2 linked regions of the Caenorhabditis elegans genome follow. The protein of the gene in region 2 interacts with the protein of the main gene of each other region in a pairwise test. Each region holds a gene or a part of one and is shown on either strand. Other genes may lie near its edges. The genes, in order: brc-1 and K07F5.14.

Region 1 (4,958 bases), on a different chromosome or scaffold from region 2:
CCTTGAACACCCCACCAGACACAGATCATAATCTTTTTTGGGTGAAGATCAGGCTTTGGCGTCGGTATTCCTTTCTCACCGATCGGAAGCCATTGACGTTTTCTGGAATGGTTAACATAGAGCACCCACTTCTCATCTCCAGTAACCAGATTGTTCAGCCAATCGAACTTTCGACGAAAAGTTAGAAGTTGAGTACAAACGTTGACCCGAGTGAGCTTCTGTGATGCCGAAAGTTCATGAGGCACCCAAATTCCAAGTTTTGAAGTAAAACCAAGGCGACCCAAGTGACGTGCAATTGTGCTATGACAACACTCAAGCTTCTCTTCCATTTCACGAAGACTAAGACGAGGCTCTTCCTCCACCAGCTTCACTAGGTCTTCTTCATTTAACTCTACCGGTCGCCCAGAACGTTCTATTTCTTCGAGACTGAAGTCGCCGTTCTTGAACTTTTGAAACCAACTCTTTGCTGTATTATAAGAGAGTGCTCCCTCACCCATCGCACCGCATATGTTTCGTTCCGCTTCCATTGCTGAATGACCAAGACGAAATTCATAAAGAAGAAGCAATCTAACGTCTCGACGTTCAAGTTTGATGATTGTCATCGTGGCAAAGTAGAAATGGATGAAATGAATCTTTTCTGAAAGGGGACGACCCGACCTTGACACGACCTACGATGAAAAAATTTTAAAACTTTCTAGAAGTTTTGGAAAAATATTTGAAAAAAAGTACAAAAACTTATGGGACAACCTGATATTTAAAAAAAAATTGCTTAAAAATTTATTTTCAAATTTTTTCTTTAAAGTTATGCTCGAAATTATAACAAAAATGGAAATTTTGAATGAAAAAATATTTGCATTTTCTCAAAATTATGTTTTTTTTTCGGGTTCAGCACTTTTTTATAAAACAATTCAACTTTTTTTAAAATTAAAATTGAATTTTTCTGTTGAAAACCATATATTCCAGGGGTGTGCGGCAAATCGCAAAATTTGCCGAGCTCGGCAAATTCGGCAAATCTCTTTGTTCAATATTTGCCGAGCACGGCAAATTCGGCAAATTTGCCGAGCTCGGCTAATTCGGCAAATTCGGCAAATTTGCCGTGCTTAACAAACTCGGAAATTTTTGATATTTTTTGATGTTTTTGGACCACCAAAACTACCGAATTCTTAACACACATCTGGCTTCGGAATCAGTTCCGTGTAGTATGTCTGCTTAAGCATCAAAATAACTCAATTTTGTGTCATTTTACTGAATTTTTGGCGAAAAAATCAGTAGTTTTAGTCGAAATTGTACTGTCAAATTTTTGACGTGTGCGGCAAATTTCGAAATTTGCCGAGCTCGGCAAATTCGGCAAATCAACTTTTTTGAAATTTGCCGAGCTCGGCAAACGACAAATTCGGCAAATTTGCCGCACACCCCTGATATATTCTGCACACAATGATTTTCCTATATTTCTTACACTTGTAGCACAGGTAACATTTGCCAGATCATCTTCATCAATTTGTAGTTCTCCTTCAGAATCTTCTACAACTTCATCATCATCTGATGCTACGACCACTGGCTTTTTCACTGCAGTATTTAGATTCAAATCGATCAAATTTTGAGTACTTTTGAAAACTTCAGGCTTTTGGGCTAGTTTTTGGATTGGCTCAGGAGGAGTTTCCAGCGATTCAGAAGCTGTCATAATTTTTATGTTTTCAAGATCTTGAGAACTCGCAAAGGATACTCTTCGATTCGCTGGTTTCTCTGATTTTTTCGGTGGCGCCACATGGAATTTCTCCATTAGCTGATTGATATTCTGCAAAAAATATTTTATTTCAAAAATTATTTTCCTCTAAATAAGCCCGAATCATCACAAACATTTCGAAGAAATTGTCGCATCGTCGGCATTAATTGGAAAAGTGCATCGATTTCATCAATCTCTGTCGAATTTTCTGGAAAATTGGCAAAAATTAGCGAATTTTTTTTTGATTTTTGACCAACCTCGGAGGGTATTTATGTATTCTTCAATATCAACATTTTTCAGTTCTTCTCTTGATATTTTATACGTTTCTGTAGAGGTTTCCACGTCTTTTTTCAATTTTTCCAGCGGGAATACTCGACTTTGGAGCTCTACAGGTTGTTTTGTGGCTGGTTCTGGCGGTTCTACCGGTTCTGCAGGCTCCTCGGCGAATGCGCTCGGCGGTTGTGGTCGACTCGGTCGCTTTCGGCGCTGAAAATACAGATTTAATGTTAATAGAGTCAAAATAGCCCAAAAAGGCCGAATTTTTTAATGATAACTTCGAAAAACGGACTAAATTATGCAAAAACTCAAAATTTTTCAACTATTTAGCTAATTAGCAATTTGTATTGCATTTTTAATTTTTTTTCCCAAAAAAATACACTAGAAAATGTAACTATAGAGTCCAGTTTTCCAAACAAAAAAAAAGTAAAAAATATTTCTTTTCTGCTTTTTTCGTGTTTTTGACGAAATTTTTTCGCAGTCCGCTATGATTTTCAGTCAGAAATTAGCAAATCGATGAAAAAAGTGTGTAATAAAATTATTAAAAATTGATTTAATCGCTATACGACACAAAAAAAGGTGAAAAATGTTTTTATTTGACATTTTAGAAATATTTTTAGTGATTTTCTTTTGGTTTTAATTGGTTTTTTGTGCCAAAAAGCATACCACTGGCAAAAAAGGTATAGCAAAATCTGGAGCGCATCGTTTTCCATCATTCTCTGGAATAATCGTGATATCCAGCGGCATTTGACTTTCCATGAACATTTTCTCTGGCGGCAGTGACTTGAACGTATTCATATTCTCAATATCTTTTTTAAATGCTTCTGATAGCTTTAAATAGTTCTGCACAGCCATTGTAATTTGATAAGTATCTCGACAACTTCGCTTATCCAGTACACTTCTACAAATTGGGCATTGAACTTTTCGTTTTCGTTCGAAGCAAGCGTTAATGCAAGAACGACAGAAAATATGGAAACATGTGGACAGAATTGGATCTTTGTATGTTGAACAGCTGAAAAAAAACCAATTTAAGGTTTTTTTGTTGATTTTTTGAAAATAAATTACCAAATTCCACATTTCAGTTCTTTTTGCAGTCGTGCCACTGTTTCTGTGATCCTCAGTGCAACATCTGCCATCTGAAATTAAATTTTAAACAAATAACATTTCATTTTAATTGAAAAATCAATAAAGTAGGTTAAAATACAAAATATTTGATTTCAAAACTCCCGCGCTGAGGGGGCATCAGAGAACACTCATTGCAAACCTGCTCCACTGACAATCGGGGCGGAGTAAAGCGGAGAGGAGAGAGCGCCCCGCCTCCCCGCCGGTGCCTATATTTCAGTCGGTGCCCCCGGTCTTCGCCAGCATCCCCGCTTTTCCTCTCCCTTCTCTGATGACTCTCTTGTTTTTCCATATTCTATCAAGGAAATTCCCTTTGGAAATCCTGAGACTTCAAGCTACGGAGAATATTTTTTTTTAGAAAAAGAAAGAAAAAAAGAAGAAAGAGTGCGCGAAAACGATGCTGCTTTTTCGGTTTTCTATCTTTTTTTCTTCTTTTTCGGCTTTGAAAAAAAAAACATTTTCTGGATGGTAGCTCTTTTTGGGAAAGCTTTATGCAGTAGTTTTCAGTTAGTTTAGCTGCTAAATATCATTTTTGCAAGGTTCCGTTCAAACAAATTTTGCAAACACGAATTTTTCTTTTTATAATATTTTACTTTAATATTCTGCTTTTTAAAAAAATTTTAAAACCAAGATTAAAGATATATAATCTGCTTTTTTCCTCAAAATCTAGATGATAAAATTTTTAGAAAACTAATGTAGTTCAAAAAACTCCACATCTTCTCTTAACTCAAAAAAAAACAATTTTTATAAAAAGAGACATTTTTGCCGTTTGTCGCGATAACTTGCTTTATTAAAATGCCAAATGTGGTTTTTTAATAAAGTAATTAATTAATGTTATTGATTATTCAAATTTTGAGAAAAAAACATAATCAAGCCTTTAAAAATCATTAAAAAAGCAGAAAAAAAACACAAAACACACTATAAAAATTAATTTTTTAAAAAAATTTAATTGAGCAATTAGTGCAATTTTTCGTAACGGTGCTTGCGTACTGTGCACTTGATCCGACGACATCTACAGTACTAACTTTCTCATCTTATTTTTTTAAACGTTTCCACGTCAAATTTTCAACTTTCCCGGCGGTAATTTTCAGATTTTCATAATCAATTCTGACCAAAATACCAGCAAAACTCTGCACTCGAAGGTCAATTTTATTTATTTTCTCTCACTTTTTCCTCTCTCCGCCGTCCCCTTTCGTCCACCGTTTGACCCCATTGATCACACACAACCGTAGATTTGTTTTCTGATCGTTCTTCGAAATTCGTTTATCAGAGAACTGTTCAAACCGAATTTTAGGAGTAGTTTGAAATATAGAACGTGACTTTACTGGTAACAAATTGTGAGAAATCTAATAAATAGAAGAAAAAACGAAACGAAATTGTATTTCTCGCGTTGTGTTATTGAGTTTGTTTTCTCCAGTTTTCCTTTTTTTCTTTCTATTTTCTTTTCTTTTCCAAGTGTTTGTTCTTTGTCCTGCTCACGGTTTATGGTGCCATATTTCGCATGTTTTACCGCATTTTCTTATCATAAAGTGCCTCATTTTCAGGTTATTGCATCTCATCATGTCGGACGTTCGCGTCAAGTTCAACCTAGCCAACGATGGAGAAGGTCTCGACGAGGATGTAAGAATTTATTTCTTCGAAAGAATACTTTTAAAACCAATAGATTTCAGATTTTCCTCCCTCCAGCCCCACTCCTTGCCGGTGCTCACTGTGCTGGCCTTCAATCTTACCACGATTTGTACCGTTCCTCGATCAACGATGCTGACGAGTTCTGGCGTACCGTCTCATCTGAACTCCATTTCGAACAAGGAACCTCTAAGGGTCTCGAATGGAATTT
Region 2 (4,327 bases):
AAACTTGTTTGAACGATTTGTTGTAAGTTTATTTTATAAATCACTGAAAACTTGCACAGTGTCACGTTTCAGGGAATCGGATACAATCGTATTTCGGAGCGAACCGACGATGAGGGATTTGTAACTTTGGTGCTGCGTCATCCTATTACAAACTTGAACACAGAAGAACGCCGTGACAAAATTCTTGAAATTATCAAAGCTATTCTTGGTGGCGGACCAAATGTAGAAGTTCGATATGCTCCTGGTACTTCGATGAGAACACTTTCTGATGGATGCACAGAAATCTGTATTATCGCCAAAGAAGGCGGATTTGTTGCAGGAGCTATTAAACTTGCTCAAATCCTCAATGATGCTCCAAAAATGACCCAATTAGAATCGCAGTTGCAAGTGGATAAAACAAGGGTTCTTCCTAAAGTTGGAATGTCGAAAGCACAAAGAGATAGATATTTGGAGACAGTTCCTGATGGTTAGTTTACTCGTTATTTTTACTATGTTTATCATTTATTAACAAAGATTTTCGTTTTCCTCCCTCGCATTGTATCAAATTTCATTCATTTCAGGAATCGATGAGCGTATTTGGAGACAAGCAATCAAAGAAAACCCAGCTCCAAACAAACTTCTTCCTGTTCCAGTACGTGGATGGGAAGCATTAAGAGACAGACAGAAGGCTCAAGTTGGCGAGTCGAAACTATTCCACGAGGCAATTAATGCATTGGGAAATCGTGTTGAAGAAGCTAATGTAAGTTGTTATAACTTGATGAAAGTTTACAAATGTCATACATATTTCAGCATGAACATGCAGATGCAGTTGTTAAGATGGAGATTATTCGTAATCGCCATAAAACTCTCTCGTACAGAATTGTTCGTGTTATGCTTGCACAATGGATTGTATCAAGATATTCACGTCAAATTGACACTGATGAGGATGTAATTGAAGCTAAAGCTGATACACTTCTTGCCCAAATGAATCGTCATAATCAAGTGAAGGTGAGAAAAAATTATGATTTAATTTTGTATAAAACAATTAATTTCAGTTTTATGTCGACAAATTCTACGAGATTTTGGAATCAAAACCGGATAAACTTCAAGAATCAATGTGGAAAATGTTTGATATGACAATTGAAGATGAACACTATGCTCGTAGAGTGCTTACCAAATTTGTTAATATTTGCTCTGGCCTTTACGAGTCAACACATCAACAAATCGAAAGTCTTGAAGCTTGTAGAAGGGCTCTAGAAGGATAATTTATTTTTTAGAAAAGATTTTCTGAAAATCTTTTTTTCAGATTTTCTCGTATTAATTTAAAAATTCGCTCATTTCTTTTGTATCATCATTATTTTCTTTCAAACTCTGACAGGTTTCTGGTTATTTCTGTTTCGACCTAAGATGTGTGGCAGAAAATTGTTTTTAAAACTTATACATATTGAGCAAAAAAGCTCGCTTTTTTCTATGTTCGCCTGTCATCACGAGTACATTTTTTCATAAAATATGCCTCATTCTTGGTTGTAACTGTTGATCTGACCTCCTCAAATTGTTAATTGTCTTATTTCACACACTGTTTAATAGATTGAATTAATTCATCTCAAACTTCTATCTAGAATAAATTTGATCTCCATTTTTCTGTTTGAGTTTTGTCAAATAACGGTTGTCTCCCGTTCGAATTTCTGCGATTTTCAAATAATTAGAATCACATAAAAACTATTGCAAAATGTATCTCAGAAAATGGACGATGAAGACAATGATGAAAAGAGACGTCAACGTTCAGATGAAGCTCGTCGAGCCGCGATGAGGCAAAAAATTCAAGATCAGAGAGAAAGAGATCGTCAAATTGCTGCTGACATTGCTAATGTTGACAAAAAAACGACAAAACGCATTGTATTTGAAGATTCGGATGATGGGGATGATCAGGATGAAGAAACAGAAAAAACAGCCGCGAATGGTGAAAAGGTTGGAAGTTTTTCAATTTTTTGAGATAAAAATCTCTTATAACAGCAATTGCCCGATTTCATAAAGTTGTTTGCTGTAAAGACAATACTCGTAAACTAAGTTGGAATAATTCAGAAAACCTCGCGCAGTTCAAAACGTCCAAAACTCTTCGATTCTGAAGATGAAAACGATAAAGATGAGGAGGAAGATTTTGAAATCAAAAATAGACACTCTGGTCCTAAAGGTATTGTCTAAAATTAAAATAAATTAAACCAAAACTATTTTTCAATTTTTAGGCGAAAAGCTGATGCACCTAGAATCACGTTTCAATAGTGATCCCCGATTCAAATTGGACGACAAGTTTGCAGAAAGTGATTCTGATGAAGATGGAAATATGGAGCAGAGCTCGGAAAAGCAAGAAATGAAATTAGAAAAAGATAAAAATCGAGAACTTTTGTCTAAAATTCTAGGAAAAAGTGTCGAAGAGAAAAAACCAAATACTATAGAGTCTTCAACACTTAAAGCTCGACCATTCACTCGTTTCGATCCTGAAAATCCTGAGCATTTGGAATGGATGAAAGCTTTTGAAGCTTCGAAAAATCCACAAAAAGTCAAGAAAACTGAAGAAAGTACAAATTCGGACGAAGATGGGAATGGAAGTGACGAAGGAGACGAAGATTCAACTGAAAAGAAAAAGGAAGAAGTCGTTGAAAAAGACGAGGAAAGCGGTGATGAGAGCTTTGAGAAAGCTGAAATCTTTTTCAAAATGGATGACGCGTTTTCAGCTGAAGTGAGTTTTCAACAAAAAAAAACATTTTTCACACAAAAATTATTTTCAGATGAAAGAACGAAAAGATGGTGATGATCCGTCAACTGGAGGTTTCTCTTTTTTATCAATGATTGGAAGAAAATATGATGACGAAGCAGTTGAAGATGATGGAGAAAATTTAAAGAAAATAGAACCAACACAAAGTAAAGCCGAACCGTCTGGAAATGTTGACAAAATCGAAAAATCTCTACTCAAAGTGAAAGTTAGCACAAAGTTTTTCGTCGATCCTCTGTCGGATGAAAAAATCAAAAGTTTAGCGGCTAATTTCAGAAGAACTCAAACAGTGGAGAAAGTTATTGATAAATGGGCACCTCATCGAGATGCTATTTTCAAGGTGAGTAGTTTTTTTTTTGAGCCTGACCGACTATTGAGCTCTGTTTTATTATTTCAAGCGAGTCTTAATACAAAAAAGATTTCAAATTGTTTTGATTCAGAAAGTTATACCAATTTCCAGTATGATCAAATAAGTCCACCATCTTAATAAATAACAAAATTTTCCCTAACTGTCTGATTCTCGTTACGCATACACAATCTCATTCTCAATCTTTTTGCGGAAAAGTGTCATTATTAATCGATTTTTCTTTCTTCTTCCAATATAAATTATTCATACATTTTTTAGCTCTGGAAGAAACAACGTCGTGATGCAGTAAAAAAGCAGAAAGATTCATTTTTCACAAATGGAAAACGAAAACGGAAAGCTGATACAGGAAACGAAGATGCTCCTGAGACTGCGTGAAATGTTCAAGATCTAATAGTTATTCAATTGTTCGTTGTTGTTTTTGTTGATTTTCAAATGTTTGTTATAGTAAATACATATTTTCAAATGTTTTGATTTTTTTGAAAACTTACTCTGGTTTAATTTCCGATGAGAATACCTTTTACATTTTTTATGATAATTTTTGTTAAACTATCATAATATTTCAGAATTCTTCAGCGTAATGTCATTTTCGGATGTTTTGGATGCAAAACCAAAAGAGCCAAAGCTCTATCGATTGCTTGGGTGTGATGAAAGCTCTTCGGTAGGTTAAACTTTAAAATAATATTTTCATAATTTAAGTTATATTCAGATAGATCAAATAACTGCCGAATATCGGGCACGGGTTCGCGACTGCCATCCGGATAAAGTGAAGGAGCACAACACGAATTCGACTGAAAAATTCATGGAGCTACAGGGAAGTTTAATAAAATAAATTAATATCAATAAAACGCACAATAATTGTTGTTACCTCTTCAGAATGCATATTCTATTTTAACGAGTGATTCTCGTCGAAAAACTTACGATTCGTGGCTTCATTCCCCGTTTCCAGTTTCTTTTGAAGACTTCACAAAGTCTCAGGACACTTTTCAGATGGTAATTTTGGCTCCGATATGTGTTTTTGAGTTTTTTTGGTTCGGTCCTTGTGCTTTTTTGTTGAAACTTTTAATTCTATTTAAAAGAAAATAAAAAATTTCAGTCAACTCACTGGGCAGTTCCAAAATCTCAACCATCTATTGCAGCCAATCAACCAGAAAAGTTGTCTCAAAATTTTAAATCTGAAAAATCTGAAAAATCACGCTGGTCCGACGGTGATC

What was found.
Region 1: the proteins of K07F5.14 (region 2) and brc-1 interact in a two-hybrid assay, tested with the Caenorhabditis elegans proteins (one large-scale study listed by BioGRID).

What each region holds. Positions count from the first base shown.
Region 1 is NC_003281.10:3,859,824-3,864,781, forward strand, and holds the start of brc-1 (Breast cancer type 1 susceptibility protein homolog), read right to left. Parts: upstream 3,136-4,958; coding exon 3,065-3,135; intron 3,012-3,064; coding exon 2,666-3,011; intron 2,210-2,665; coding exon 1,981-2,209; intron 1,932-1,980; coding exon 1,858-1,931; intron 1,796-1,857; coding exon 1,457-1,795; intron 1-1,456. Other genes in the region: acs-19 (Acetyl-coenzyme A synthetase), read left to right, coding at 4,682-4,741, 4,792-4,958. UniProt on the Caenorhabditis elegans protein: E3 ubiquitin-protein ligase that specifically mediates the formation of polyubiquitin chains and plays a central role in DNA repair.
Region 2 is NC_003282.8:9,860,502-9,864,828, forward strand, and holds K07F5.14 (NUC153 domain-containing protein), read left to right. Parts: upstream 1-1,719; 5' UTR 1,720-1,722; coding exon 1,723-1,947; intron 1,948-2,061; coding exon 2,062-2,170; intron 2,171-2,222; coding exon 2,223-2,716; intron 2,717-2,765; coding exon 2,766-3,089; intron 3,090-3,374; coding exon 3,375-3,491; 3' UTR 3,492-3,566; downstream 3,567-4,327. Other genes in the region: npp-1 (Nucleoporin Nup54 alpha-helical domain-containing protein), read left to right, coding at 1-22, 73-466, 561-739, 790-987, 1,035-1,244; K07F5.16 (J domain-containing protein), read left to right, coding at 3,694-3,774, 3,823-3,924, 3,987-4,106, 4,210-4,327.